3 linked regions of the Mus musculus genome follow. The protein of the gene in region 1 interacts with the protein of each later gene in a biochemical or structural test. Links are inferred from orthologs where the notes say so. Each region holds a gene or a part of one and is shown on either strand. Other genes may lie near its edges. The genes, in order: Tnrc6a, Ago2 and Cnot1.

The links.
Region 2: the proteins of Tnrc6a (region 1) and Ago2 form a complex in vitro, tested with the Homo sapiens proteins (2 studies listed by BioGRID). The link is inferred for Mus musculus from reciprocal best matches to the Homo sapiens genes TNRC6A and AGO2.
Region 3: the proteins of Tnrc6a (region 1) and Cnot1 form a complex in vitro, tested with the Homo sapiens proteins (2 studies listed by BioGRID). The link is inferred for Mus musculus from reciprocal best matches to the Homo sapiens genes TNRC6A and CNOT1.

Annotation. Positions count from the first base shown.
Region 1 is NC_000073.6:123,186,287-123,196,240, reverse strand, and holds the end of Tnrc6a (trinucleotide repeat-containing gene 6A protein), read right to left. Parts: intron 9,679-9,954; coding exon 9,520-9,678; intron 8,889-9,519; coding exon 8,748-8,888; intron 7,454-8,747; coding exon 7,346-7,453; intron 6,397-7,345; coding exon 6,175-6,396; intron 4,742-6,174; coding exon 4,671-4,741; intron 4,183-4,670; coding exon 4,043-4,182; intron 3,663-4,042; coding exon 3,290-3,662; 3' UTR 945-3,289; downstream 1-944.
Region 2 is NC_000081.6:73,105,494-73,115,991, forward strand, and holds part of Ago2 (protein argonaute-2), read right to left. Parts: intron 9,993-10,498; exon of another isoform or gene 8,410-9,992; coding exon 8,215-8,409; exon of another isoform or gene 8,059-8,214; intron 6,329-8,058; coding exon 6,194-6,328; intron 5,143-6,193; exon of another isoform or gene 2,981-5,142; coding exon 2,879-2,980; intron 1,872-2,878; coding exon 1,672-1,871; intron 1,524-1,671; coding exon 1,415-1,523; 3' UTR 1-1,414.
Region 3 is NC_000074.6:95,720,907-95,731,404, forward strand, and holds part of Cnot1 (CCR4-NOT transcription complex subunit 1), read right to left. Parts: intron 9,756-10,498; coding exon 9,507-9,755; intron 8,342-9,506; coding exon 8,178-8,341; intron 7,827-8,177; coding exon 7,709-7,826; exon of another isoform or gene 7,674-7,708; intron 6,779-7,673; coding exon 6,677-6,778; intron 5,283-6,676; coding exon 5,109-5,282; intron 3,760-5,108; coding exon 3,610-3,759; intron 2,560-3,609; coding exon 2,379-2,559; intron 733-2,378; coding exon 600-732; exon of another isoform or gene 533-599; coding exon of another isoform or gene 374-532; intron 1-373. Other genes in the region: N-lysine methyltransferase SETD6, read left to right, coding at 374-532.

The sequences.
Region 1 (9,954 bases):
TGGTATCGAAATCAGAAATCCACCTGCCTCTGTCTCCCAAGTGTTGGGATTAAAGGTGTGTGCCACCACTGCTTGGCATTATGGTCAGTTTAAGTAGGCCTGTGGGTCCTGGCAGAGGCTGTAAGGGAGACAGTGTATTGTGAGCATAACGGAGAGTAGTGAGCACACCCAATGTCTTCCTCTGGCATGGATGTGTGCACCACACATAGATGTAAGAAAATAAAGGCCAGGGGCTGGAGAGATGGCTCAGAGATTAAGAGCACTGGCTGCTCTTCCAGAGGCCCCGAGTTCAATTCCCAGTAACCACATGGCTCTCAACCATCTGTAATGGGACCTGATGCTCTCTTCTGGGGTGTCTTAAGAAATCAACAGTGTACTCACATACATAAAATCAATCTATCTTAAAATAAATAAAAGCTTAACAACTTTTTGTGGAGCTGGGTATCCCCAGAACATAGTTGGAGGAGTGGAGCCAGAAAGTGGCTCACACTCTTCTTCCTCTAACTGGAGAGACTGGGGGGGTGGGGGTGGGGTGCAGTTTTGAGGCACGGTGTTCTATGGCGCTGTTTCATGCAAATGCTATCCAGAGCTCATTTTGGCCCAAACTCTAGTCATGTCAGGGGCTTTTGGGTTTATTGGAGTTCCAGCTCTAAGAATCACCCTCTGTAACACCCCAGAGCTCCGGATCAGTGGACACTGAAGAGAGACTGCAGGGCAGCTTCTGGCTGAAGTGTAGGCAGGAGCACACTGCCCTAGGCCTGAGCCGCTGCACGAGTCAGTTCAGGCTCACTCACAAAGGCCCCAAGGAGTGGGGAGCTCTGTCAGACACAGGCCTGTGGGAAGGGAAGGCTAAGAGGGAGGTCCCAATGACACCTGGGATTTGGAGACAATGGGGATAAGAAAGCAGCAGTTATTAATAAGGCAAAAAGCAAAACCACTTAAAATATTTTTTAAATCAAACACTTTATTTCCACATAACAAGCGCAAAAAAACTCCCAAACACTTTTAACAATACAATTAACGAAGTCATGAAGTCAGATATATACTACTCAAAGCCCCAAACGGTCACTCAGCTTAACGGTCCAAACATCTCCACACATGGTTTTTCAAAGCTACCTTTGGTTTTTGGAAAAACCAGTATGGACATCAACACACACCGAATGCATTAAACATTTGCTTAGGTTACGGTGTCCAACATTAGCTTACACCTGGCAAGTGGAGCGTGATTTGAAGTCATACAGGTTCTGTGCCCAGAGCTCCTTCAGTGAGGAGGGGCGAAGGGCACAGGGAAGAGAGGCCAGTCCAGGTGGTGGCATCCCCACTGTGTGAGGTATGAGAGGTTAACACTAGGACGCTGTCACGGCAGTCAGCTTCGTGTCCCAATGGTCCCGCTGAGGCTTGAGATGGGCACAGATGGTGGGGAAGGTGAAGCCAGAGAAGAGCTTTGGGCAACAACAAGCTCCCACAGATGCTCAGGGGAGGAGGAGCAAGCTACAGTTCCCACTGTTCTCACATTATCTCAGGGTGATTGTGGACAAGTTCAGGTAAAATGTTCAAATATTTGCTTAGATTTTTAATCTGCCGCTCTATGAGAAGAACTCTCACATGCAGCAACTTTGTAACTTTCATTATAAAAGAGCCTACAAATAAATCCACAAAAAAGAGACAATTAATGTTGAGCAGCCAAAAAGTCATGGTTTATTATTTGAAGATTTCATAATTCAAACACAACCAAACTGTACATTTACAATCACATCCTATTGTAAACAGTTAAAAGCCACTGACCTCTTTTGCATCTTAGGACACAAACAGTTAGAATCAAGGCAATGAAATGATGGCGTATTCTGTACTGTTAAAAGTTTACCCTTGTTTAGTCTCTCTTTGACTAAGCAAGCATTATAATACCATTTGTGGGCAAAACAACAGGGGCTAGGGAGGAAAGAAATTTTAAAATGGTGTAACTCGTTAGTTTGCAACAACATTTAAAATTTTTTATACAACAAACAACTCTGTAAGCCCAATGTCTTGGTTACAGTATGCATAGTTACTGATCTCGGCTTTAAGGTACAACAGTTAAACATGAACACAGTCACAAGAGAGCAGAGACATGAGAGCCACTGATGGGGTTACAAAAGTCACCTAGCGATTAGCAAACCATCATCACTCACTACTAAAGGACAGCATCTGAAAGCAGACGGCAACTCCAGCTCGAAGCGCGTTTTTTTCTTTTTTCTTTTCTTTTTTTTTTTTTTTTCTTTTTTTGGCAGAGAAAATGTTGAACAGAGCAATACGTAGTATCAGTGCTAAAAGTTGGGTTTTCTTCTTTCCTATAAGAAACTACAAGATTTTTTGACCGGGGAACTGGTTTCCTGAGAACCATGCTCTTTGATTTAGGACAGGAATAGAAAACAGAAGAACATGGCCAACTGCTGCTCTTTTCCCAGAGATAGAAGCGTCTTTTAAACCACCCTCCTTTTTTTTTTTTTTTGTCTTTTAATTTTTTTTTTTTAAATGATGGAAGAGTAAACATTTTTTTTCTCAAAAAACAAACAAAAAAATCTGTAAACAAGAAGGTTCACCGTGGGAACCTTCAAAACAACATGGAAAGCCTGTTCAAAGTGCAGGGCCCGTCCTGGGCAGCAGGCGGGCTGCAGGTCACAGCGGTGGCCACAGTTTCTCAAACTGTAGAGCGAAATTCTTTAGTTTTACAACATGAAAAAACTGGTGCAATACTTTCATTAAGAATCCTACGTCAGTATCTTAACTTGATCTTTTCAACTCCACGATACCACACTAAGGTAGGCAACATGAGGCATAGTAGAGAGCGCACGCCTTGAGAACACCCTTGAGTAAACATCTACACTGGAACAGCTGCCCCCATATTGCCGATTAGACGGAGAACATCACTCAGTGCAAAGGTAAAAGCTCATACGTCAGCCCCAAAACGGTTTTGCAAAAAATACAAATAAAAATAAAAGGTGGGGATGGGGATGGAAATGGAGGAAAGAAGGAATCCGAAGGCTAAACATGATGAATACACAAGTGAGCTCATTCCACACGGTAGCTGTATGGCGCTGTTTGGGAGTGTAAATAGATAGATACCCTTTCACATTATAATATTGGCCTGCATGATTCAAGTATTCAAACTGATATGTTTTGGGGAAAACAAAGTGGAGAATGTGCAGAAAACAGCTGTTCCCACAGGTGCCCTGGCTGCAGGCGGCGAGCCCAACTTAGTGCTCCTTTCCTTCTCTTCGTGAGGTCACAGTTTACGTCTATACCTATGCCATTACATGGACTCCCCACCCCCACCCAGGTGGTCAACAGAAAGAAAAGCATTAATGGGGGATGGGCTGCTAATTCCCCGGGGGTCGCTGCTCGGGGGACCCCACAGGCTTGTGGAATAATGTGGGGTCCCCCAGAGGGAAGTGCCGTGAAGGTCTCCACAGTTAGCTCCCGACAGCCCAGCACCATTCCAGTGATTGACATCAGTCCGGCTGGAGAACGAGTGGGAACAGTCGAGAGAGCCCAGCCGGCTCTGGCTGGACCCGAGAGACTGCCAGCCAGGAGAAGGGGTCAGAGACTGACTTTGTGCAAAGAAGCGACTGATCTCCTCTTCACTGGCAAACTCAGCGAGAATAGTAGTGTTCCCCAGCACACACCTAGAGGAGAGGGCACAACATGAGGTCTTCTAGATGCATGGCTTCATAAGCTCAACTAGCAGTGTGACCTGCTCCGAGAGAAAACCAAGGAGGTGCAGAAGGAGCCTGGCCTGCTCCATGCCCAGAGTGAATGTTCCAGAAGGGGTTATGGGGCATCTAGACCAGGTCTGCCTCCCATAGGCAACACAAGGGCTTCTCCAGGATCTAAGGTCACGTTCTATTTTCTGAAGTAGCCTTCAACGCCTAGGCTCAAGTTATCCCTCCGCCTAAGTCTCTCCTGGTCCACATTAACCAGGTCTACACAGGGGTCTTGGGTTGGGCTTTTACTCTCAGCTCTCCCAGCCTCTCCCCTCCCCATCAGGAGTCTTGGGGCAACTTACATGTGCAGAGACTTTTGTGCCTTCACTACCTCTTCTTTTGAACTGTAACGGACCAGAGCATTTCCATGTGGGAGGTTCAGATGGAATGTAATCAGTGGGCCATGCTGCATGCACAGGGTGCGCAGAGTTGAGCCATCAATCTAGACAGAGCAGGCTGCGGTTAGGGCCTCCATTGTGAGAGCCATTGGAAGGTACCTCCTTCTCATGCCAGGTTCAGTGCCTCTTCCTTATATGCAGTGGGCTAGAGCTAGGCGATGAGTCATCACCCCAGGCACGGCTTCATGTCTTCCCCCACCTACTCCATGACAGAACCTCAAGACACTGCTCCCTACGAGTGGGAGAGTAGCCTCCTAAGAAAATACTTAGGAAAGAGTAGACCAAGCTCTCTGGAGGGGTAATATAATCCCACAAAGCCACACTTGCAAAGCCCAGCACCACTCAGTACTGGGTGAGACATAGGTATCTGCATTACTGTGCTGCCCTAAACATAACAGCATGAAAACCACTGGATCAGACTAGAGGCAGCGAAGTGTCACCCTCTGCCTGGCCTTGATGAGCAGTGTCAGGCCTGTTTGGAGCGCATAGCTCTCCCCAGCCCACTGTATGCACTGAGCGGGTGCCTCCTTACCTGAGGTGTGAGGTTCTTCAGAACAAGCCAATTGGTTATTCTCCCTGAGCTGCTCTCACCCCAGCTGGAGCCTGAATAAAGAGCAAGCAGTCAGCACTCTACAGCTCTGCCTGAATGACTGTTTAAGACAAGTACAGCCAATCAAACGACAGCTAATCTCAGTCCTCGGGAATCTGGGCTCCTTTCTCTTTTGCCTACTTTCCCCTCATGCAACAAAGATCTGTGATATCAGCTTGCTCCAGCCTGGATCAGGTGCTGAGCCCTACCTTCAGGTGCCTCTATTCCATGGCATCTTTCCATTTAGGGTAAACTACTTCCAAACGGTGCCCAAGGGCAGGCCTCAGGTAAGCCTTTCTGCATCTGTCCCTAAGACAAGTACCTTTAAGGGCACTGAACTGTTTGGCATCAGGTATCTTTTGATTTTGTCTAGGTTACTGAGTGAGTTCTCCACTGAGCCTTTCCTGCATGAGCCTAAGGCAATCCCTCTCCTTTAGAAAGTAACATCTAAACATGATTAAGAAGCACCTGGCCCCGTGACACCTTACAGGTATTTCACAGTATGTCACTGGGCCCTATGTCTGCTTGACCTTAGGGGTCAATAGCACCCACTTACGCTTTCAAATGTCTGCCTAAACAGTAAACTTCATGGTGATTCTTGTTTGTTTGTTTGTTTGTTTTTGAGACAGGGTTTCTCTGTGTAGCTCTGGCTGTCCTGGAACTCACTCTGTAGACCAGGCTGACCTCAGACTCAGAAATCTGCCTGCCTCTGCCTCCCAAGTGCTGGGATTAAAGGCGTGTGCCACCACCGCCTAGCCATGGTCATTCTTGGGATGGGCCAAGCTACTACCAAAACAAGCCCAATCTCTATCTTCTCTCTCCAGCTTAATTTTCCATGTACCAGTCTTGTTCTGCAAGCCAGCCATGAGTTAGGAAACAAACAGACCTTTTAAGATGCATTCCCTTAGGGCTGAGGGGGTGCACACGTTTAATCCCAGCACTTGGGAGGCAGAGGCAGGTGGATCTCAGTGAGTTTCATGCCAGCCTGGTCTACAGAGTGAGTTCCAAGACCCGCCAGAGCTACTCAGAGAAACCCTTTCCCCAAAACCAAAACCATTCAAACAAAAGAACAGAAACAGACAGACAGACAACAAAAAGCAAGCGTTCCTAAGGAGTTTCTGAGAAGAGACCCCACTAGCACTGCTTTGCGTAAGCATTCTTACTTATTTAGACAAGGTCTCCAGGGTCTCATGTACAGATGACACCAACATCCTCATACTTACTGCTCCTGCCTTCACTACCCCTGGGCTAGGATTTCAGGCATGCACTACCATACAGGTTGGCTAAACATTCTTAAGGAAATTAATCAAGACTCCTAAAGATAAGAAAATTATAAAAGGTAGAGATGAACTACAATTCTGCTCAAGCTCACTCTGCCTTTACAGAGTGTGACCCCGCAGCTCACAGTGTTGGTCCACAATCAAGCACCACAGCTATCGTGTCTTACCTGGGGTATATCTGGCATCAGAATTTCCCCATCCTCCACCTACACGAAGGGGAGAATTATCCCACGTAGACAAGGGTGGCTTCTGACCAGTCAGCCCCGGAGGTGGGCGGGACGGAGCAGTGATGTTTTTAGGTGGCAAAGGGACTTTCCACAGCTCATGAGCCAGAGAGGTGTTTGTAACTGAACCAGGAGACCACGTCAATTTGGAATCACTATTTCTGGCTACTCAAAGGAGAAGGGGGAGAAAGAAAATAAGAAAAATTGAAGAAGGTGGGATAATGTTAGAAAGAGAAAATTCCCACAATAATATTCACTGTCCCATGAAAAGTGAGTTAAATAAACAAAAACTACCAAAACCCCTAAATCTAGGTAAAGGCCTACAGAGAAAGACAAAGAGTCCAGAGCTGGCAATCTTCCTCAGGACTTGGGCCCTCACCTGATACTGTCCTGAGACTATGCAAGCAGAGAACTGCTCTCCGAGATTACAACACAGACTATAAGATACACACGTGGACTCCTGGCCAACTGGTCCACTCAAGAGAGACACAGGCCACAGACATTTTAAGCTCATCATTTCCTCCCAGAAGAAAGGCTATAGCAGTTATTCCAAGTTAGCAAGGTGGTGCCACACAACACTCATGGGGAGAGAGGCAACTATGTCAAAGAGTGCTAAAAGACGGGAAGAGAAAGGGGTGGGAAGGTCTTCAGCAGCTCTTGAGCATTCAGACCTGAGTTATTACAAAGTACCTGGCCATTAGACCAAGGCTCCTCCAAGTGTGGCTGCAGGAAGGCTGGCCACAGCAGAGTATTCCTGAGCTGCAGCAGATGCACACTGAAGCCCAGGGCTCTAGCCTTCGAGTTCACTGCGGGGGCACAGCATCATACAGTACCTCCCACCTCCCACCTCCCACATCCTATAGAGCTATCAGTCTGGAGGATTGAGAATAAAGAGCGAGTACAAGTGGCTTTCAGAAGACTCTGGATTCAATGGTGCTTTATCACAGGGCTGAGGTGGCTTAGATGGCAGAGAGCTGTGTGCTAAATGTAGACTGCTTTTCAAAGGAGAGACATGATGTTTGCAATACTTGGATAGGATCACAAACCCTCCCCCAACAACCTGAGAAGGCAGCAGAGGGGAAGCCCCAGGCTGGCGGTTTCTGAGAGCGCCCACCTGAAGTGCTTTGTGCTGTACTGCTGAGGGGAACATTGTAGTTGGAGGCACGAATGGATGACCAGGCACTAGTTGAAGGCAGCGTGGTGTTCAAGGATGAGGATGACCCTGCAGAAGAGAGTCAATGAGCAGAGCAGGGCATGGGGTTTAGGAAGCTGCAGGGCCACAGCATCCTCAAGATAGGAGTTGAAAGCATCTGAATTAAAGATAGGGCCCAAGATAGCAGCTTCCTTTCTGCTGACTGGTTCTGCCCTGGCTCAGAATAGGCATTTCCTTCTTGATCCCCTAGAGTGTGCAGTGGCTAGATGAGCCAGGCTCTCCTTGCAGCACTAAAGAGGCTGCTTTTGCTCTAGCTCTTCACTCTGAACAGCAATGACTATGTACTGGCAAGACAGGTCATCAAGGCAGCCCGTCACAGGCAGTACCCAAGAGCCTTCAGCCTTCTCCATATTTGGGCTCTGTAGTTAACATATTCTCTTTAGTCTTGGCCTAGCCCTGACCCTCACCTGGGCACCAGGACAGTCCCTACTGTCCATTCTGCACTCCATTTAGATGCATTGACCCTTCCACTAGAAACTTGTGGTCATAGCTTTCTTTTTAAAATGTTAGCCACTGCCAGTTGTATACTTCATTTACACTTGGAATGTTGACCGGCTTCCCCAGGACAAACAGCCTGCCTGCCTGCCTGCCTGGGATTTCAAGGTTCTCACTGTGAAACGTATGTACTTTCTAAAGGGTTGTCAGGTGAAATAACCCTATGACTACCATGGGGCTGTTTTTTACCATAGGCATATGTGAATATTTTTTCCATTGTTTTGTCCTAGAAGAAAGATTAATAAAAAGTTACTGAAACACTAAAATAATTGATTTTTTTGTATGTGTGTGTAAAATATATTCTCCTTTCTATCCCTTTTAGTAATTTACAAAGAATGTAAAAGGGCTAACAGTCTTTACTGATACACAGCTTATTAAGGTAGCAAGTGTTTGTCATATCATAATGCTAAGTGAAGAATCGTGTCATTCTGAAATGGCAGAATCTACCAAAGAGCTACGTAGAGGCCATGAAAGCCAATTCAGCAGAAGATAGTAAGGCACAGGCCAGGCTGAAAAGGAGCTATAGAAAAGTTAGTTGTTTATAGAAACTGGTTCTTTATGGAAAGAATGTTCTGAAAGTCAAAACATTAGATTTTATATTAAAAAAAGAGCTACGACCACAAGTTTCTAATGGAAGGGTCAGTGCATCTAAATGGAGTGCAGAATGGATTGAAGGGGCTGTCCTGTGCCCCTTCACCTGTGAGGTGAAGGTCACCTGCCCAGGTGAGGGTCAGGGCCAGGCCATCCTGACCTGTTATCATCCCACACTGCTGCACAGCATTCTCACACCAGCCCATGCCCCACGTACCACTGTTCCTGTCCCTGAGGTGGTCAACTTCCCGCACAGTATTAATTGAAAGACTGTTTATGACACTGCCAGGAGTGACGTAAGGGTCAGTTTCAGGGTCAATGTTTGGATAACCTTTCCATGGTTCACCAGGGCGAAATTCTGCAAATACAAATTCAAAATCAGTGCACAGCTTTAAAATCCAAATTAAATAGCCACACATTCATCTCTAAACTCTGTGTGACAACACCCTAAAAGGCCAGGCTGGTAACAACATAGTAAGTATTACACACTCCTAATCCATTACTAACTTGCTTATTTACACAACTGAAATAATTGCTCTGAGTTTACATCTTTTCAGCACTGCAGCAACTCAAGCAGGCCAGAGATGCAGCTCTGGTGACCCTCAGTGTCAAATGAGTCCTTGACACAGTCTCTCCTCTGACACAGTCTCTCCTCTGACACAGTCTCTCCTCTGACACAGTCTCTCCTCTGACACAGTCTCTCCTCTGACAGACACAGTCTCTCCTCTGACAGACACAGTCTCTCCTCTGACAGACACAGTCTCTCCTCTGACAGACACAGTCTCTCCTCTGACACAGTCTCTCCAAGAGACTCTTCACACCAGTGGTGAGTTCATCCACCATCACTGTGTGGAACAGAAAACTGGAGCATGCAGCCAATGCCCCAAGTTCAAGCTCGCCTCTCCACTGCATCACATCAGCGCTTCTGATCACAGAACCCTGTTAAGCTATGGCTGAGACCAGACATGGAGAGGCTGTAAGCATCTTACCTGGTGGCCAGTTAACACTGCTAGAGCCGTTAGGCGATTTGGCACGTGGCCAGCCATCTCCTATTGAACCTGGAGGACTGGCTGGTGAAGTACTGCTATTCATAAAGTCATAGGGAACAAATGGAGACTCTTCCAGCCTAAAACCACTTGAAATAGCACCTAAAAAGAACAATGTGATGGTGAAATAAATGTGAGCCAGCTACAACATCAGCCTCTTCTACAGCAAAGCTTCCCATCAGGGAAATGGACGCCAACCTGCCCAGTACACTCTATGAAGATGCAAGAGAAAAAGCAGTACTCTGCTCCCTGACAGACAGACAGACAGCAAGGATTCTGACACACCACATGAAGACGGGGTGGAAAGAACCAGTGATTCGGGGATTCCTGTTGCTTCTTTTCTCTGTGCCTCTCTGCTTATAACTTCATTCTGATGAA
Region 2 (10,498 bases), on another chromosome or scaffold:
GGCTGGAAAACCCACACTGGGGCCCAGAAGCAAACAACACCCAGAGAAAGTCTGTGCCTTCCCTGCTGGCCTTGCCCACGGTCAGGTCCTCGGGCACAGTCCATTCCTACCTGCCAGTCCCATGCTGGCAGAGCCGCTATGGGCAGCTCTCTCTCCACTTCAGTGCATAGATCCTATGAAACCCACCTTCCATAACTGCACACTGAGAGAAGTGCACTCTTACGTGAACTTGTTTCCCAGCAATGGAAGAATAAATAAATTCCATTTGTGCTTCATCGGCTGAGCGACACACATGGACGAGGCAGGGAGGACGGCAGGTTACTGGCAAGCGCACTGTCCTTCCAGAGGTACAGGCTACACAGTCCACACTGGGGGTGGGGAGGGAGGAGGGGGCATCGCTGGTACATGAAGCCAGTTGCATATTCCTCTACTTAAGCACTAAAAGCCACAAGAGGTGGACTGTCTCCAGGCTCCACACAGCTCCTGATATGTGAAGCAGGTCACAAGAAGCGCCCCTCGTCAACGAAAGGGAAACAGCATCTACCTACCACATTAATACTGCAAACCAGATACATATATTCTTCTCTTACATTAAAGACATTAACAGTGAAAAAGGATTGTACTGTATTTATCACCACAGACCCGTATTCTTTAGAAACTTTGGAAAATAAATGTCACAGTCCTACAGGACAAATCTTATGATTAGACTGTCAGTATATTGTCTTTTTTTCTCTTTTTAAATAAATTTTTATCAAAATGGCACTTGTCTGCCAATCTCTCGGACTTGTCACTGCCGTAAACACACGTGACCATCTCCTTGGCCACTGTGCCTTTGTTCAGGCCTCGAGGGCAGGCAGTGACCTCGAGAGACACTGTGGAGACCTAGCAGCCATACGCCCTGGGGCTGCAGGGCGCATGGCATCCCTTAGAACTCAACATTAGTGACAACTTCTTAGGGCCAGGCTTTAAAACCCCAATGGAAATGGTGTGGCTTTCATGCTCAGAGCCTTCACAGCTAGATGGAGCCCATCGGTTTCAGTGAGAATCAGGTGTTAAAAACAAGTAAATTGGATGACCAAATAAATTAAAGTGTTTTAAAGCCCTGAGAGTTCATAGACTGGTTTTAGGACATTTTGTTGTTGTTTTGTTTTTAGGAAACGGGACTCTCAGTGAGCAGCTTATAGGTTTGGCAAACCATGTTTCCTACACTGGGGTCTCATACAGGCCTGCAGCTCAAAATCCAAGTCTGACATCTGGGACGGAAGGCATTCTGGAAAACGGAGGATCTAATAAAACCAAAGACGTCTCATGTTCGATGCTGGCTGTCACAGAAGGGCTGGGCATCTGTTGGTCTGAGTGTAGCTGGTCTCGTGTGAATCCAACTTGGTACACAATCGCTAAACAATACAACAGGTCAAGCAAAGTACATGGTGCGCAGTGTGTCCTGGTGGACCTGGACCGCCTTGGCCAGCGCTTGGTGATCTCGCCCGTTGCTCTGCCCAGAGGTATGGCTTCCTTCAGCGCTGCAGAGACATGGGAGAGAAGAGGAAAAGGATGCAGTCTTTCCTGGATACCAAGCAAGGCACTGGGACCAGACGTGTATGGAAAGCAACCATCACAGCCCCTGAGAAGCCAGCCTCGTCTTAACCCCCTGCCAGGTGCGACACTCACCTGTCATGTTCTTTATCCACCAGGTGGTACCTGGCTCGGAAGGCCACCAGGTGAGCATAGTAAGCTGGCGCGGGTATTGACACAGAGCGTGTGCAGCGCACGTAGGTGTGACACAGCTGGTAGGTCAGAATCTGCAGCTCATCAGAAGAAAAACGATTGTCATCCCAAAGCACGTGGTAGTGGGAAGGACGGCTTGTCCCCTGGAAGAGATTAGAGGGCCAAGAAAGACGCACCATAAGACCTTACCAAGAACAAGCATTCCTATTAAGGCAGGCATGGTGGCACATGCCTGGGATCCTAGCACTTGGGAGGCTTGAAGAATCATCTGTCCCTCCCTCCCTCCCTCCCTCCCTCCCTTTCTCCCTCCCTCCCTCCAAGCCTTGCAGCATTAGTTTAGGCTATCCTTCTGCCTCAGCTTCCTACATCACTACACCCAGCTCGATGAGTAACATTAAATGTGGCCAAGACTCAAGAGAGCCAGCAGAGAGGATGTTTAATGTCCCAATACAGAGAACTGGTCAAAGTCTGAAGCCCTGTCATCAGAGGTGTGATACATGTGCTAAAAATCACATTGCACATCACACCCCATAAATATGCATTTGATGAGGCAATAAAAAAAACATTTTAGAAGGAGCTGAGCCAAAGACAACGCCCTCTGGGTATGCTAGGTATTCTATAGTATTTTATTTATAATACCAAAAGAAAAAAAAAATCTCCCATCAAAGCTACATATTAACATCCAGAAAGTGGGAGTTGAGAATATTTGATGTACCCAGCAGAAATACTGCTGGCACCTCCCTTCCTCCCCGCCACTATTAACCAGTCTTCAAAGACCTCACTCTACCATCGGTAAGATGGCATGATTCTGCTGAGGAGCATCCCAGTACTTCCTTGTCCTAGCATTTTCTTGGTGGTCAGCACACAGCTAGCTGAACGTGAGCCCCTCCAGGCCCCACCGCTGCAGCTCCTGCAGTCAGTCCCACCTTTTAGCTCACTAGCGGTCAGCACAGAACACGCTGTATCCCTTGGCCTTTCAGATCACTATTCCTTACATCTTGGTCTCACCACACCCACTTCTACACTGGTCCCTTCCTATCTCTTCTGGACCCCAGGTGAGTGCCCAGCTCTCCTGGCCACAGAGCAAGCTTGAGCCCTGTCTGCAGAGCCACAAAACATCCCAGGCAGTCAAAGGAGCCTGCCGCCTCACCTGGATGCCGGCGTGACTGCACAGGTAGAAGTCAAACTCAGTGGGGTGGGTGATCTTCGTGTCCACGGTTGTGCCTGCGGGAATGTTCCCACTCTTCCCAACCTGCAACAGCACAGAGGGCTCATCAGCTGTGGCAGTGTGTCAGCGGGAACACCCGTTTCTCAGCACAGACAAAATCTGGTAAGTACCAACGATCTCCACAGCTTAACTTGGGCTAGAGTTATTGTTCACACTGTATCCTGATGCTACAGTCAAGCACAGTCTGTTTACTGAAGGCCCTGTCTGAACAGGCTCCAATCACATAGGCTAGGTTCCAATTCTCTATGAGGCTAAGGATGAGACCAACTCCTTATGCTTCCACCTCCACCTTCTAAGTGCTGGAAGTGAACTGTACACTACCACCATCAGCCTAATATTTCAACTAGAGAGAGGAGAAAGAATAAGGGAGACAGGGAGGGGGAGTGAGAGGAAGAGGAAGAAAGAGGGAGAAACCCCCCCCCACCCGGGTATGGCTACTTTTTACTTTTCTTGCTAGCACAAGCAATAATAATGCCATAAATCCTTCTATTATGTATTTATAGACACGCTCTCACACTGTAGCAGCCCAGGTTGGACCAGAGCTCACTGAGATTGGACTCTACTCAAGATAATCCTCCTGTTTCAGCCTCCTGCATGCTGGGACGGCAGGCTTGTGTCACTATGCCCAGCTAAACAATTCCTACACAAAATCTCCCAGAGCACTCAGGGAATGGACAACTGTCAGTTTTGTGTTCCTGGCTGCTTACGGATCTGAACTCCCATCCCTGGCACTTCCTTTTTAACAATAAACACACCAGGGACCGAGTGCTATGCCCTTTGGTCAGTCCTCCCAATAGTCTATTCTTGTGGGCAGGTCCAGGGAAACAGATGGAGACACAACTCAGACCCTCTGTCCTGGATTTCAGTGTCATGTGCCCAAATCTGTGCAAAATTCACTCTTTTCTAAACTGCACAAGTTTTTGTTTGTCTGCTTTCCAAGAAAGGCCTCTGTCCTACACCCAAGTCTACTCCTGAACTGATGTCTCTCCTGCCTTAGCCCCTGGAAGCTAGGACTGCAGACTTGTGATATCACAGGTCGTAACAAAACATTACTCCTTGAAGGGTTGCTGAAACTTGCCTGCAAACTAACCTCATAAAATAACTCTGTAACTAGGAACTGGGGCGACGGCTCCGTGGTGAAGAGCACTTGCTGCTCTTGCAGAGGACTGAATGGGTGTCCAGACCCACACGCTTGCTCTCAGCCACCCACAAGTTTCAGTGTCAGAGGGAGGGAGCTACCTGACATCCTCTTCTGACCACCATAAAGCCAAGACTAATACTAATATTCAGAGTACAGAACTCCTTTGACTGTTTTCCGCCACATTTTGTGAGGATTCAGAGCTGAAGGTCTGTGTGGGAAACCTGCCTGCCCATAAGCTTTCTGGATCCCAAGACTTTTGGCATGGGTAGCTTTTAAAAAAGAATTTTTGGGTTTAGTTCCAGAGATGATTTTGTAAATATACCTAACTCCATAAGCATTTGTGGCACGTTTCAGACTTCCCTGGCTAAGTGTCACCATCCAAGGAAATTGATGCCGCCTGCTTCCCCAGAGCGCATCTTCTCCCTCCTCCCGGGCATCCAAGGAGGCAGATTGAATCTGCTTCCTCATTATTGCCTGGTCTAGGGAGGAGAGCTGCCTGCAGGCAGTAATACCTGTAGCAACAGACACGGAGCTGCAAAGGGACCCAGCTTCAGGCGCCACAGCTTCCCTTCATGGTCTGCAGGGCCATTTCTCATCTTATAATAAATGCACTCGAGTCTCCAGGCTGAGCTGAGCTGGTATGAAACCTTTCGGTTTTGTTCAGCTGTGAGTGCTCTGTCGTCTCCTTTCTATCTTTAATGCATGAGCGGCAGGCAGCAAAGCGATAGTGTCAAGCATTCTTAAACTTCATTTGCATAATGATCAAAACATATGGTTTCTATGAGATCAAGGTTTGGAAACCACCTGAGACTTCTTGTCCTTCCATGTGAATCCAGCACCTGCAGCTCTTCTGGCCCCTCCCACTCATTCCTGCCTGGTTCAGGTTCCAACAGAGGTGTGTCACAACATCCACCCATGACACTGTATTTGTCAATTTCCCTTTGAAATCCTGCAAGCTTTTGCTGTTGTGATTTTTTTTTCCTCTTTACATCATTTTAGGATGCAACACTGGGGCCATTGGAGACCTCAGCTGCAGTGTTTACTGGTAAGTGGTTTCTTTCTTTGTGGCAAGTTATACCTCAGTCACTTCACAACACTTACAAACACACACTGGGCTACACTGGAGGCCATTGGGCAAAGCTGAACTGCAATGACCGTCTTGCAACAATGTGGTGATCCCAGGCCTGAGGGGTCTGGACCCACAGCGCTGGGTTCAAGGTCTGGTAGACAACTTGAGGTCTTGCCCTTCTAGACAGCCTATGTCTCTCAAGCTGCTGTCTTTATACATGGATGTGTGCCTCATTGTGCTGTTAGAAATGCAGAGCTTATGTTTTGGGGTCTTGGGAGACGGCTCAGTCAGCACAGTGCCTGCTATGCCACGTGAGCACAAAGGCCTAAATTTATACCCAAGAAGCCACATAAACACACCAAGTGCGGTGGCACTCTTACAATCCCGGGGTTGCAAAGGCACAAACAGGATTCCCAGGGCTTGCTGGTCATCCTGCCTATCCTAAGGATGACATTTTATGTTTGTCTTTTGGTCTCTACACGTGGACACCCGCACACACGTACACGCATGTCTGGGGACCCTTACCTTTCTCCAGATGGAGCGCGCGAGATGTGTATGCTCCCAGTCAAAGGCACGCTCTGTGGAGAGCCTCAGGCTGACTCCATCCTTTCACACTCTGACTGCCCAGTCCTCCACCCTCAATGGCTGGTTTCTCTCAATTCTCTGCTCCTCCCCATCCTTTCTTTCTGGGGCAGGGTCTTAGACTCATTTTGTAGCCACTGATGACCTCAATTCTCGATGCTGCTGTGTCTACCTCCTGGTACTGGGGTCACAGCTCATGCAAAGCTGGGGATCAAACCCAGGTCTTACCTAGCACATGCTAGGCAGCATTCTGCCAACCAAGCCAGACACCCCCCCCCCCCCCCCCGAGCCCCGTCACAAGTCCTGGCAATTTATTTCTGAACCACCTCTCCCATCATTTATTAGATACATGACATTTCGTGCTTGGACCCTCCTCACCAGAGCCTTGCTAGACACCCGAGCCTGGGTCCCCATCAACTGTGGCAGCCGTGGGGCTCTGACTCACCCGCTCATTTTTGTCTGTGCAGAAGAGGCGTGTGTGGTGCCGCTTCTGCACCACGATGAACGTGATTCCTGGCTGATAGTCCTTCTCCAGCTTGATGCAGGCCTCTCTGATGGCCAGGAGCTCATGGTGGAGAACCTGCAGGACAAAGGCAGGCGTCAGATGCCTCTTGCACGCTGGGAATGGCTTTCCAAGTCTTGCCAGCACTGGGTCAGGTATACCACTCTGCCTTCCGACAGTTGGCCCAGTTTCATTCTGATACCGTGATAAAAAGACCGGCCCAAAGCAACTTGGGAAGGAAAAGGGTTTCCTAGTTCACACTTCCAAACCACATCCCATCACTGAGGGAAGGAAGGGTAGGAACACAACAGAAAACATGGAAGAACAGTACTTGCTGCTTGCTCAGCTAACTAGCTTGCTTATGTACACTTTTGTGCTTTTGTTTATTCTAACCGGCCTGGAACTCATTATGTAGACAAGACTGTCCTGACTTCAGAGATCTACCTGCTTCTACCTCCTCAGTGCTGAGGTTAAAGGCATGCACCAATATATCCACTTCAGCTTGCTTTCTCAGTCAGCCCAGGCCCACTTGTCTAGGAACGGTGCTGCCCCAAGTAGACTGAGCCTTCTATATCACACAGCAAAATGAGGATGTCCCACAGACATGACACCAACAGGCCATCTGATTGAGACAACTTCTTCATGGAGGTTCCCTTTGCCTAGTTGACTCTAGCTTATATAGATTTGATAGTAAATTATAGTCAAGTCCCTACATAGGGACCGCTTGGCTTGGAATCCATCATGATCTCAATGCTCCTGAAGACTTATGGGCTTGCGCAGCAGAGACAGTTGCCACTTGCTTGCTTACTGAGAGGAAAGGAAAGACAAATGGAGCAAGCACTCACTTGAGTCAGACCAGAACTCCCTGAGCTCAGTACTGCACAGTACCCAGCAATGCTCCTTCCTTCCTCCTGTCAACTGTGGGTCCTGTACTAAAGGCCTCATGTGAAGAGTTTGATACACAAGTACCAGAAATAGTGGCTTTTTATTGTGGCAGGACAGTATCTGTCTGTCTGTCTAATCTGGATCAAAGTCTTATTATTCTGCCCTATCTCTCTCTCTCTCTCTCTCTCCCTCTCTCTCTCTCTCTCTATGTATGTATGTATGTATGTATGTATGTATGTATGTATGTATGTATGTATCTATCTATCTATCTATCTATCTATCTATCTATCTATCTATCTATCTACCTGCCTATCTGAATCGAAGTCTTATTATTCTGCCTGCCTGGATCCACCTGCCCCTGCCTCCTCAGGGCTAGGACTAAGGGTGTGCAGCACCATCATGCTTGACCTTGCCCAGATTTAACAGTCTCTACCAGTTTACAATGTTTTAAAAATATATGTAGAATTCTAGCGCAGACAGTTAAGTTGTGGGGATTCTGGTACTCTGAGCAGTGGAGCTGAGAATGACAGGCCCGGCCTTCCTACAAGGGAGAAGCACTGGGAAGGATCGAAAGCCCAGGGGGATGGACCGAGAGGCAACAGGGTTTGAGGTCACGTAAGTACATTGTGGAAGCTGTCAACACAGCTCTTGCAGAACACAGCACTAGAGACTCGGCCAGAAAGAACTGAACCAGACAGGGCAGTGTACTCCTAGGGCAATGAATATCTGTTCTAAAGAGGAGAAAGTTGCAGCTTCTGCCCTAAATAGGAAGCAAATGTACTTTATTGCATGTCTTCAGCCTGTGGTCAAGGCAAGTAAGTCGATTCTCCAGCACTTCAGATCTTAGAAAGGCCCAGGGCAGGTAAAAATTCCCAGTCTGCCTTCATATCCCCTGGCCTGACTGAGGCTCTATCCTCACCCAGGTCTCCACTGCCCAGGCCTATATTCAAAACTTCCCTCCTGCCTTCCCCCATCCTGAGACCTGACACCTCCTAAGACACAGACCACACCACCACCATCCGCCTTCCCACTCTGAGCAGCCGACTGACAGAGGCAGAGAGGATGGCAGAGCGGCCCACCTGCTGGAACTGGCCCTCGGAGACGCCATCGCGGTAGAAGATGATGCGGGTGGGCTTGAAGCGGGTGGACTTGTAGAACTGAATGAGCAACTCTCGTACCATGGCAGCCAGGTCCTGGATGATCTCCTGTCGGTGCTGCTGCACGCGCACGGTGGCACAGTAGCGGTTGGGGTGTGCGTCCATGCTGCCCACGACCTGTGGACAGACACGGTCAGCAGGGGACAAGGGCTCCAGGTGTCCCTCTTTTGGGTCCAGCTGGAGATTGGCCTATAAGAAGCATCTCCCAGTGTCCCTCACAGCAGATAGTACTGCTAGCTCCCTTCTCAAGATGGGATACTTGCCCCATGGTACACGGGAAAAAGGCAACCTTGAGCCTTACTGTGTCAGGGGGTTGGGTTACCTGTAAAAAGCAACTGGGGGGGGGGGGTGCCTCTAGATTTTTTAGGAGCAAACACGTCTCCAAATTGCCTTATGCCCATCAAAGAGTTAGCATCCCCAGTCTTAGATCCCTAGGAAGGTCACAGCCCCGTGAAGCAACTTGGCTGTTTTAGGGCTCATCTGAAGGAGCAACCAGAGAGTCAGAGCCCCACAATGCTGCCAGGATTCTGAGGTTAGGGGACCAAAAGTAAACGGATCAGCTACAGCTAGGGCCTGCCCACTTCCAGGCTGGGGAAAGCACTTCCTTATACCTTGAAAGCACACAGGGAAGAGCCCTGGACTTCTGGGAAGCAGGTGGCTAGCTACTCCTCGGAAAAGCTTACAGAGCATCGTCTCTAAGCCTTGCCAAACTCCTTGTTCAAAAAATATTTCAAGTTGGCATAAATAGAGATAAATCAACATGAACAGAAACCTGTCCTATTGATGGAGAATCGAGGGGACCAGGAATAAGCATAGATTTCTGCTCTTTAGAATTTGATAAGCCTGGTTCTGATCTTGGTTGTCAACTCACCCACAGCTGGTATCAACCCAAGCCACAGCAGCTGATGAGGTAAGCTTCTGAGGGATTTTGCCGAATCATTAAAGGTGGGGAGACCCACTAAAATCCGAGTCACACCTCTTTCTTAGTGGCAGCCTTCGACCTTTTGCCTGCTTGCTGTTGGCAAGTTTGTCTATTCCTGTTACTGCAGGCAGGTTCCAACTAGACTGAAGACCAGCAGCTTCCAGTTCTCCTGGACTCTAGAACTGAACTGGGACCGCAGAGACCTCCAGTCTTTTTTTTTTTTTTGGTTTTTCGAGACATGGTTTCTCTGTATAGCCCTGGCTGTCCTCAAACTCAGAAATCCGCCTGCCCCTGCCTCCCTTGGGATTAAAGGCATGCACCACCACACCCGGCGAGACCTCTAGTCTTGTAGACTGAACAACTACAAATTATTCTTGGCCTTTGTTTTAAGACTGCATCCTCTAAGTCAATCCAATGAACTGTGTGTATGCGTGTGCACGTGTGTAACTAATGCATTTGCCTAAGTCTCCGAAGCCTACAGAGAGGACCCTGCACACAGTGACTCAGAGAAAACAAAGCCAACAATGACCAGGTAGAGCCCAAGACCTGGGCCAGACCCCAAGCACATTGGCTGTTCGGGTCTTTTCTGGCATTAGAGATCCTGACCCTGGATACTACCTGAAAGCCACAGCCAAGAACTATGCATAGCACACATGATGCAAATGGGGTCTCATCCTATATCATATCCCATACTCTACCCCTTTAATCCGGATTAAATAAACAGTGATGTTAAGTCTGGTTAGCACCTACTATACACACACACACACACACACACACACACACACACACACGCACGCACGCACGCACGCACGCACGCACGCACGCACGCACGCACGCACACGCATGCCAGGGCACTGAGCTGACTGCAGCACATGTGAAAAAGCTCAGAAAGATTAATTGTAGGGAAGTGGTAGAGAACGGTTTGATGCTGAGGCTCAGCTGGGCATGACGCTGGTACTGCCATGCCAAGTAAGAAGTGCGGGAGCCTACTCAGGGCCTTTTGGTCCCACTCCCCAGGTGAGCACTTCTTTGAGGCACTTGAACAACCAGTTAGAGAAACTGATTGGGCAAGGTGGGCATTTGTGAGGGCAGGATCCATGGTTCAGACAAACGATCCAAAAGAGCTGTTGTTTCCTTTCATATGCTCAACCACCCTGGCTCTAGAACCCGGTATTCTTTAACTAGAGGAGTGGTAAGAGGACACCCATTGCACTCTGCACTCCAAACCCCACTACAGAAGTCCATGCCTGTCCACTGTAACATGACAGGCCAGCCTACTGAGAG
Region 3 (10,498 bases), on another chromosome or scaffold:
AAGTGCTGGCTAGTACCAAATCTTTGTTCTTAAACTTTTTTGTTTCCTGGTGGCAAAGATTAAGGCCTTTGCTGCTGAAACTGGCACAAGTATTTAGTTGGGCGAAGAGGTAAAGTACAAGTCTGTATGTACACCCCACTATATTGTGCACTAATATCCAATCCTATACAGTTTAAACAAACAGTATGACCCTACTGTTTCCCTTTAAAACCTTAAAAACATGAAGTACACAAAAATGTCAACAAGATTCTGGATAAAAAACATTACTGCCACAGCTACCACCAAGAAACTAATGTTGCTTTTATTGTAAACTAGTACCCAGCATTTCAAAGCAAACCACTGTCCATTATCAACTTGTTTTGTAATTCCTTAGACATGGCTCAGCATAATAACACAGCGAAACTGGGAATGCACAGAACTCATTCAGAATACAGCGGAAGCAGTCAGTGGTGGTGCACACCATCCATCCCAGCACTCAGGAGGCAGAAACAGTTGGATCCCCAAGTTTGAACCAGCCTGGTCTACGGAGTGAATTTCAGGACAGTCAGAATACAGGAGAAAAGAGCCCCTTTAAGGCATCATGACAGTACATCTCTCACCTTGTGATCTGTTCCTGGATTGCCTCAGTGTTCGCCTCAGCAAAAAGGTACAACATTGTGCAGCTGAAGTAGTGAGTGTGGCTGTTTGGGTACCGTAGCTGGTTCGCAATTGCATTTAAGAAGAGATATCGGCCTAGAAATTAGGGAAACTAGATTTAGGATTTGCTCTGAAAGGCCAGTATGAGAGACAAATGAGTTTCCTTAGGCTTTGGTTTCTTAGGGGGACTGATACCATCAGTCAGACATAATCTAGCATGGTGGGCCTTGGGCAAACTGAGTATTATTCTAATTTTGCGATTTACTATTGGTTTTCTGGATATGAACTTTTTTTTTGCTTCTGTAGGCGTTATTTGCAATCCATATTATGAATCAGCAAAATACCTTACATTCTTTAAAAAAATTTTTACTGAAAATCTTGATCCTACACAACAATGGAAAGCTAATCTGCATTGTCTCAACATCCAACTACTTAAAACATTTTATTTCATGTAGTACTTGAAAAATTGTACACATGAAATAAACATAATGAAGGCAATGTCTTCCTCTGACAAAAACAGTCCTAACCTCAAAGCCCTTATAAGACTCTTGCCCCTAATGATCCTTATACTCTGAAAAGTACTTTGGTAGAATAATTGGAGAGAAAGTTTCAAATCCAGAATCTCCCACCATGCTCAGGTGGCAATAGATCTCTTATCTGTATTTGATTATCTTGTTTGTACCATTGATCACAAAGACTCTTAAACACTTGTCTAAAGGACGTAACATGAGGCCTCAATTCTACACAAAAAACTACAGGCAACCAAGAAATGCTCAGAGTAGAAAAAAACAGTCTTGTCTTCTCAAAGATGAGAACAGCAACTGGCTATCCAATACCAAATGGCCAGCCCTGAAACATATGCACAGGTAACAATTATACAGCCTGAGCAGCTTATACTGTAAAATATATTAGTAGTCTCAAGTGATCTAGCAGTTCCTCCTGACATGCCCCACTCCTAACATCATGGTGGCATACTAGCAACAGACTGGATTCAGCTACATCTGGTAGTCCTAGATCAGTGCCAAAGCAGCGAGGGATGCCCTGAAGACCAAGTTCAAAGCAAACGCTAAGACTTCTGGCAGGAGCATAAAAACTGTGAACATAAGTAGTGGATCTGGACTGAAGCATGAGCTGCTCAATCTTCAAAACCACCCCCACCTCCTGCAGACAAAACTACACATGTGGCTGATAAAACAGAAAAGGTTAGCCCCCCACCCCCAAAATGTGTGTATATACATGCACATATATGCATGGAGTAACAATAAAAATGAGGTCATGAATTTCTAAGAGAAAAACAAGCAAACAAAACAACGAGCAGAGCTTCTTTAGCACTAAGCTGGGGATTCTGAATCTTGACCACTGAAACAAACAGCGCAGGAGACACCACAGCGACGTGCCCTGTACATTTCCTACAGAGGAACAGCAAGCTCTGGCCCATTATCTTCTTACACTCACTAATGTGTTCTGTTCCCTGTCAAGCAGACCCTAGTAATTGTTGGTAAAGACAAACTTATGTATGAAGCAATGTAGTCCGACCTTCAGATGTAGGCTATCAAAAAGAACATACTTATTTCCCACTTATTGCACTCTGGCATACCATCTTTACTCACAGGATAAGATTTGGGGCCATTTTCTTAAGCATTCCTTATTGTAGCTTAAAGGAAATTTCTAGATTCTTTCGATTATATCTGTGGCAAAGTACAGAGTCTCTGATGATGCCAATGGCCAGCTGCTGCACTCACCCTCAGTGTCTAGGTCCACAGCCAGGTTCTGGAAGATGTCCATGTGTGCTGAGTGGGTGATGGTGCTCATTGAGGGCGTGCTGCCCTTGTTGTGGATGTGTGCGATAGCCTGAGTCCCTACGTAGAGCACCAATGCATTGATAAGCTGGAGGTTGTAGCGATTCCCGGGCTCATTAGATACCTAAATGGGCAAAGAGAAAACGTTACCATAGAACTATGAATAACACTTAATATTTCATTATTTTTTCCAGAGACGGGATCTCACAGTGCAGCTCTGGCTAGATTCAAACGCAGAGATGGCTAGGCCTGTGCTCCCCATGCTGGGGTTGAAGAAAGGTGAGCACCACTGTGCTGGGCAGCACTGCTGTTTCTCAAGCCTCCTTTCTCTGAAAGGGATAGGTAGCTGTTGATATTTACATATAAGAAACTTGTTCAAGATTGTGAGCTGTACAAATGTGCAGCTGCCCTCAGAGTGATTCTACTAGAAGACGTGTTCCTTTGGAAAACCAAATACTTTTGCTCATGATACAGCTATAAAATAAATTTCAAGCACAACCTCAACCATATATAATTTAGAGAAAGAAGTTGTTGCATTCTATGCTAACTCTGCAGAGCCAATTCCACTTCAAGTCACTCCATAAAGGAAATTTAACTATAATCACTCTAGAAATGCTGTCAGGTCTTGCAGGAAAGTAATGTTTTTTTCCATAGTGGTCTCATCTATAACTGGGTCAAGGACGAACTATTAGTACAGTGTGTGACTCAGGTAAGCTAACCCAATGAACAATTACAACAATACTTAAATCTGGGGATGGATGTCCAGGGATGAGGTCTTGCTCTAAGGTGGCCACAAGCTTGTCACCTGTCTGCCCCAGTCTCCTCTGTGCTAAACTAACAGGTATGGACTGCCACATTCAGCTTCAATGTTTCTACATCAGCTTTAAAATACTAATCTGAGGGCTGGAGAGACGGCTCAGTGGTTAAGAGCACTGACTGCTCTTCCGAAGGCCCTGAGTTCAAATCCCAGCAACCACATGGTGGCTCACAACCATCTGTAATGATAACTGAATCTCTTCTGGGTTGTCTGAAGACAACTATGGTGTACTTATATATAATAAATAAATAAATCTTTTAAAAAAATACTAATATGAAAATGGGACATAGATAGACAGTGCACACAAACTGCACTCTACAAAAGACACAGCAAAGAACTTAAGTCAAATCAACTGACCTGTAGGTTACTACGCAGATCAGACAGGAAAGTGACCGGCGACCGAGTTTTAAGATAAGAATCCAAATCCTTTTTGAACTGAGGCGGCATCACTCCAGTGAAATTGGTGAGGATCCGAGGTGCGATGTTAATTTCGCTTAACATGTCCACCTGCCACACATCCCAAGAATCACAATCAATCACAGATGTTAACAAGCCCTTCCCCTTCACAGACGTGTTATGATGACGTTCTAAAACTATACATACACATAGACTGTGATTACTACAAATCCACCTTTTCTTGTCACACAATGTTAGCTGTTTCTCATTATTTGAAAAGAAATTAGGGGTTGGAGAGATGGCTGAAAGAGATGGCACTGACTGCTCTTCCAGAGGTCCAGAGTTCAAATCCCAGCAACCACACGGTGGCTCACAACCATCCGTAACAAGATCTGACTCCCTCTTCTGGAATGTCTGAAGACAGCTACAGTGTACTTATATTTAATAAATAAACTCTTAAAAAAAAGAAATTAAAGAATATTTTGTGCCCATCTAATTTGCACCATTAACCATTTTTTCCAACCTTACATTTCTTATTTGTTTGTTTGGTTTGGTTTTTCGAGACAGGGGCTCTCTGTAGCCCTGGCTGTCCTGGAACTCACTTTGTAGACCAAGCTGGCCTCTAACTCAGAAATCCGCCTGCCCCTGCCTCCCAAGTGCTGGGATTAAAGGCGTGCGCCGCCATGGCCGATCAGATTTCAAATCAGTACAGGAGATTACTACCAAGAGTCCCAGCCACTGAAAGAAGCCCCAGACAAATATATGCTTTAAAATGTTTAAGAAAGGACCTTAAAAAAGAAGAGCTACAAGCAAAGTTAAAAGGCTACTTGGTGGTATGATTTTTAAGCGGTTCGTCTTCCTTAAATAATTTCAACACATGCACATGAAAACTTGTGAGCTATAGACATTACAAAGATCACTTTGTTCTTCAATTATGCAGTGTGGGACCAGCAACTGCCTACCATTCAGTCTGGGGTTTGATAATTAAACCATGTTAAAAATATGAGAAAACAGTGAACTAATATTCAACGACAGTATCACCCTCATCATCAGCTACCCTAAAAGTATCAGTACCTAAAGTGTGTGCACGCTGGAGAGAGGGGGACTAAATATACTGATGATCAGAGAAGGGGCTGAAATGGTAAGATAAAAAATTTTCCTTTAGGAAAGATGGTAAGAGCGCTGGCTGCTCTCTAAGAGTCCAGTTCCCAGTACCCACATGGCAGCTCACGATCATCTCAGACTCTAGTTCCATGGACCCACACTACCTTATTGCCTCTGTAGGTCCCACAGGCATCTGCTGCACATGAACTCAAACATACACACATAAAATCAATCTAAGGGAGGAAAACTTTAAAAAACAAAAAATAAATCAAGAAAACATTAAGGAAGTAAAAGTTAAATCCCCAGTAAAGCAATGGCAAAACAAAACAAACGTGTCCCATCTGCTAAAACTTTACCTTCAGATTAGGAGTGAATGGGTCTGGGAGCCTCATGTTTCTTGGGAAGGCACTCAGGATCAAATTTCTTAACTGGATACAATTAGGAGGGATCACATCACAGAACCCATAATGGTAATCACAAAGGAACTCTGGGAAATCATGCAAAAGAACCAGCAGCACTCTCAGAGTACCCTGCATACAAACGGAAAAGTTCCATACTAAAAAAGCAGTAGTTTTTCCTCCATTGTCGAAAATAGCAAAAGTATATTTTATTAACATTAAAAACAACAAAACCTATAGGCTTTAATTAATACATGCAGTTAAGATTATAAAAAAGTTACATGCAGAAATCATGAAAAAATTAGCTTTTGGAGCTGAAGCCTTAAATGAAGCACACAAATATTCTGCAAACACCAATGCTGCCACATTTATCTTCAGAAACTAGAAAGAGGACTAACAAAAGTGAAAAGGCAAACTAACAAGAAAACTACTGAAAATGGGGATGGGATCAAAGCTAGCCTTTTTTAGTTTTTAACAAGTTCGGTAAATTCAACAATTCTGATATATAGATAGGAAGAACACCTTAGCAACTTGAGATAGCCTAGTATATTTAAGAAGGCCCTAAGTTTTATCCCCAGTGCTATGGAAAAATAAAGTCAAATTATAAAAATGCATAACAAAACAAAAAACATGGGGAACATGAGCAAACACTGGAAGGAACATGACAAAAAGATACATCTATAAATGAAAATCTCACTAAGAAGGTGAGATAGCGGGGCTGGAGAGATGGCTCAGTGGTTAAGAGCACTGACTGCTCTTCCGAAGGTCCTGAGTTCAAATCCCAGCAACCACATGGTGGCTCACAACCATCCGTAATGAGATCTGATGCCCTTTCCTGGTGCATCTGAAGACAGCTACAGTGTACTTAGATATAATAATAATAATAAAAAAAAAAAAAAAAAAAAAAAAGAAGGTGAGATAGCGCATGCTTTTAACAAGAGTGAGAAAGAGTCAGGAGGAACTCTGAGTTTTAGGTAAATCAGGACTAAATAGTGAAGCTCCGCTTCAAAAAACTAAACATCCCTGCCAAGATGACCCTGCAGTTAAAACACTTGCTGCTCTTGCAGAGGATCGGGGTTTGCTTCCTAGCACCCACACGGTGGCTCTCAACTATCTGTATCCAGTTCCTGGGAATCCAACATCCTCCTCTTTATTCTCTGAGCACCAGGCACACATGTGGTGCACATAAATGCACGAAAGCAGACAGGAAAGCAAAAGTCATACACATAAAATAATCTACCAAAAAAGTTAAACAAGAAAACATTAAGGAAATAGAAGTTAAATTCCCCAGTGAGATTGTAGCAAATGGCTAGGATGGTGGTGGTTGGGGGTTGGGAGTGCAGTGCAAGAGATATACAAAAGATGAGAGAACAACTTTCCATTGAAAAGGTACATTGGTAGATGCACTAGAGTGCCACTAGAGTATCCTTAAGTCGGGCCTCTGAGTATCAAATGATTCTGTAAAAGCATATCAACAATAGTTCCCATATAAAAACACTTTTAAGTTATTTATAAATAAAAATTACCTTGTAGAGGATTTGCATAGGTTTAGTGAGTTCCACATTTCTAAGGAAAGGTGCTAAATATTTGAATAAATCAATCAACAGCTGAGCATACATAGGCCACCCCTAAAAGAAAGAAATATACATAAGTTGTAGTAACATTTACAAGTTGTTTGGCTACTACAAACTTGCCCGTCTCTACTGCATCTTATCTATAGTAACCTGACACGAGGGCCTCTCCTAGATTGGATCCTAGCAAAATGAAGCATCAGCTCAGTGTGGTGGGCGTGTCCATAACCCTACCTGCCACACCGGAGGCTGAGGAGGAAAACTTAAGTTCCAAGCCAGCCAGAAACATAAATATCCAACAAAACAAAAAGTCCAAGTATTACAGTAGTGGATAATGTTATCTAAAACAACAGGACTCCAGAGACTTTGGAAAATATTTAACTTTGTGCCTATAAGAAAACTAAAAAGAAAGGAGAATACCCTGAGGAAATTGCAGAAGTAGTATCAAACCAGCTACAGGCTGCTTGCCATAATTCCTTCTTTAAGTCCTGTAGTAAATAACCTTGCTGAACTCAGAGCCTCAATTCTGTACTTTCAGCCCCAAGTGGCCTCCTTACTACAGTATCACCAACCACACAAATTCTAGTTCATTCTTTTTGTGTGCACACCATGCATGTGTCTGTGTGCCATGGATTGCATTTGGAAACCAGAAGACAAATTCATTAAGAGGCTACTTCACTTTCAACACAATTTTCTTCTGGTCAGATGAGGGTACTTATTATATGCAGTACTCCTTTGCCATTTACTGCAGTGACAAACTCCTCTGAAATACTGTTAACTCCAGCATAGAGAGACTGGCATACCTGGTCCATAGCAAAGCTAGAAAAGCAATACCTGGTCACCCAACAAAGCCTTCAGATGCAGTCAAGTACTTGATAAGCCTAAGCCTCTTCTACTACTAAGTGACTAATAAAATTGACATAAATAGTGCTAGAAAGCCCCAGGTAGTTACAGGCTTCATCTGTAGGAGATAAACTGCAGCCACACCTTCTGCTGTGGCGTATGTGCCAGCATTCTTGCAATAAAGATCCGATGGGAAATCAATTCGAGCCAAGCATATACAAAGCCAGGAGCTTTAGTAGGTCTCAAGATGTGGAATGTATTGCTGAAAAAAAAAAAAATTCAGAACCACAAATTGAAATATAGTAAACACATGTAGACTTTACAATGAAACACATCAAAACATCAAAGTTCTACCTGACTTTTACCTCACTTAACCAACAGCCCTGAAATTTCAGCAAAGTACTGCCTGTGATCCCAGCACAACCTCTGACACCTACAAAAATCAACCATTAAGTTGGGTGTTGGGGTGTGTGCCTGCAATTCCAACTCTTGGACGCTCGAATTGGGAGTTCAAGGCCAGCCTCAACAATACAGGAACTTTTGAGATCAAACCTGAGCTATGAGACCCTGTATAAAATAACAAATAGAAATCTCTACTATACACAACACTCACCAGAAAGCAGTAAGAGTCTGGAAATTAATGGTTTCCAACACATGCTCGGGTGCATTGAGCTCCAACAGCAGCATGATAAAAATCCTATGGTACGGAAGTTGCTGAAATTCACTCTGCCGAACATCATGATCCTGTAGGAGAACTCCCACTACTATACCGAGAACCTATACAGAACATACAGATTACATCCCATCAACCACACAGATAAGCCACTTGTCACTTTTACCTGTGTCTTGGATTGAACCTAGGCCCTCCCAAATGCTGAGTACTTAACACTTGAATATTATAGTCAGGCTTTTAAGAAAACAAAAACAAAACAAACAAAAAAACCAAAACTTTGCACAAAGTCTCACTAAGCTGTCCAAAAACTGGCTTTGAACTTACAAGTTCCATGTGATGTTCTTACCTCCTCACTCAGTCAGGCCTGCACTACCAGCAGTGGCTTATTTACCCTGAACTCTGTAAGCACTACAAACAATAAAGGAAAGGATACATGCTGTTTAGACACAAATTTCTATGCTGGCAGCCAGCAAAAGGGAAATTAGATTTTCTGTCTTGTTTTGTTTTTTAAATTTGTTACTGGACCAAACTTCTATATTCTCAATAAAGGCCACTGGCTTTTCTAAAGGTATAGAAACCTGGACGTCTCTCCACATTTCATCATGTTGAGCTCTAACAAGGCTAGACTGTCTAATGTGACCCAACGGGGCAACGATTCCCACTTTGCTTGGCAGAAGTGTGGGTTCTCAACGATAAGTGCAGGGATAGTAATGACCCACTTGTATTTCTCCACAGACAAAACTACAGTCAAGGTTTACAGTCTTGCACTAGTTTGATATTCAAATTTTCATGATTCACGCTGTCTAAATCGGGTCAATAATTAATCAAATGCCATTCCTAGTGACCCATCCAGACATGAGTGGAGGCCGGAGTGTACCAGCTACCACAATCTCTTGTTTAGATCATCATCAAAACACCAACACACCAACTGCATCTCCCTCTTCTAAATTCTGCTACACAATATATGGATACTATCTCTTCTATTTCATTTCCAGATGAAAAAGATTTGGGGGTTGGGTGTGGGGGTGCATGCCCTTCAATCACGGCACCTCACGGGCAGGGGAAGGTGGATTCTGAAGACAGCCTTGTCCACAAATTGGGTTCCAGGCCAGCCAGGGCTACAGTGAGACCTTGTCTCAAACAATGGTGTGTGTGTGTGTGTGTGTGTGTGTGTGTGTGTGTGTGTGTGTGTGAGAGAGAGAGAGAGAGAGAGACACTACAATGGATCAGAGAACACAATAACCCGCAAGTCAAGAAAGGATTCCAGACCTTATTGAGCAGGTTGATCTTTGTGACAGTGTTGGTGGCCTCCCCAGAGTGCTTCACTAACAGTGCAATGAGGCGGACAAAGGCATCCAGGTTGTGGTAGCACTTGGCCCGGATCATGGTAGGGTTAGCCGCAGGATTGTGCTGCTGCTCCGCCTGAGCACGGTAACTGATTTCAACACACATTTCAGTGCAAAGACGAAAAAACCTTGTTATGAGGTCATCAGTTTTAAGTATTCCTTGTTGGTGCATCTACAGTGGGAACAACCAATCAACATGGTTAAGACAATCCTCAAAATCAACTTTACAGTTAGCTTTCAAATGGCAAAACTCTAGTTTATACTCATTTAACTTCTTACTCTGAAAGGATGCCATTAGGAAAATGACGTCCCTGTCATGAAGGAGACATGGCAGAGTTCCTCTCAGTTTTAATTCATGGAGAAGATTGAAGCTGACAAACAGATATTAACATTAAATAAAAGGACATCTACAGTTTGGGAAATTATATTAATAAAGCTAACTTTTAGAAATTCTCTTCATAGATGCCTTCTTCTTATTTAACCAGTGGCAGCGTTTTTTAAAACATCATCTGCAGAAAAATCAATAATTTAATAAATTCCCAGGATTATGTCACTTAAACGTAATGATCTTTTATACTGTTACAATGAGTAGAAAAGACTAGCTCCAGGTCAGGAAATGGTACATAGCAACACTGTCTCAAAAAGACAGCAGCAGGGAAGACCACTAACCGGTAAAGCAGCAGAGGAAAGGGGTCGGCGCTTACTTAGGAACCAAGGGGGGGACGGACGGACATAAAGTCATCTTGGAAATTTTTAAACAATTTAATTATCTTGATAATAAAACAGCTAAAGGTTTGAATTATACACAATGTTCCCAAACCAAGGCAGAAGGCCAGCAAAAGGATCTTATTCCACATTTGACACGTGAAAGCTTGAGAGGAATATGTGCTATGACCAAGCACTACACATAAAAAG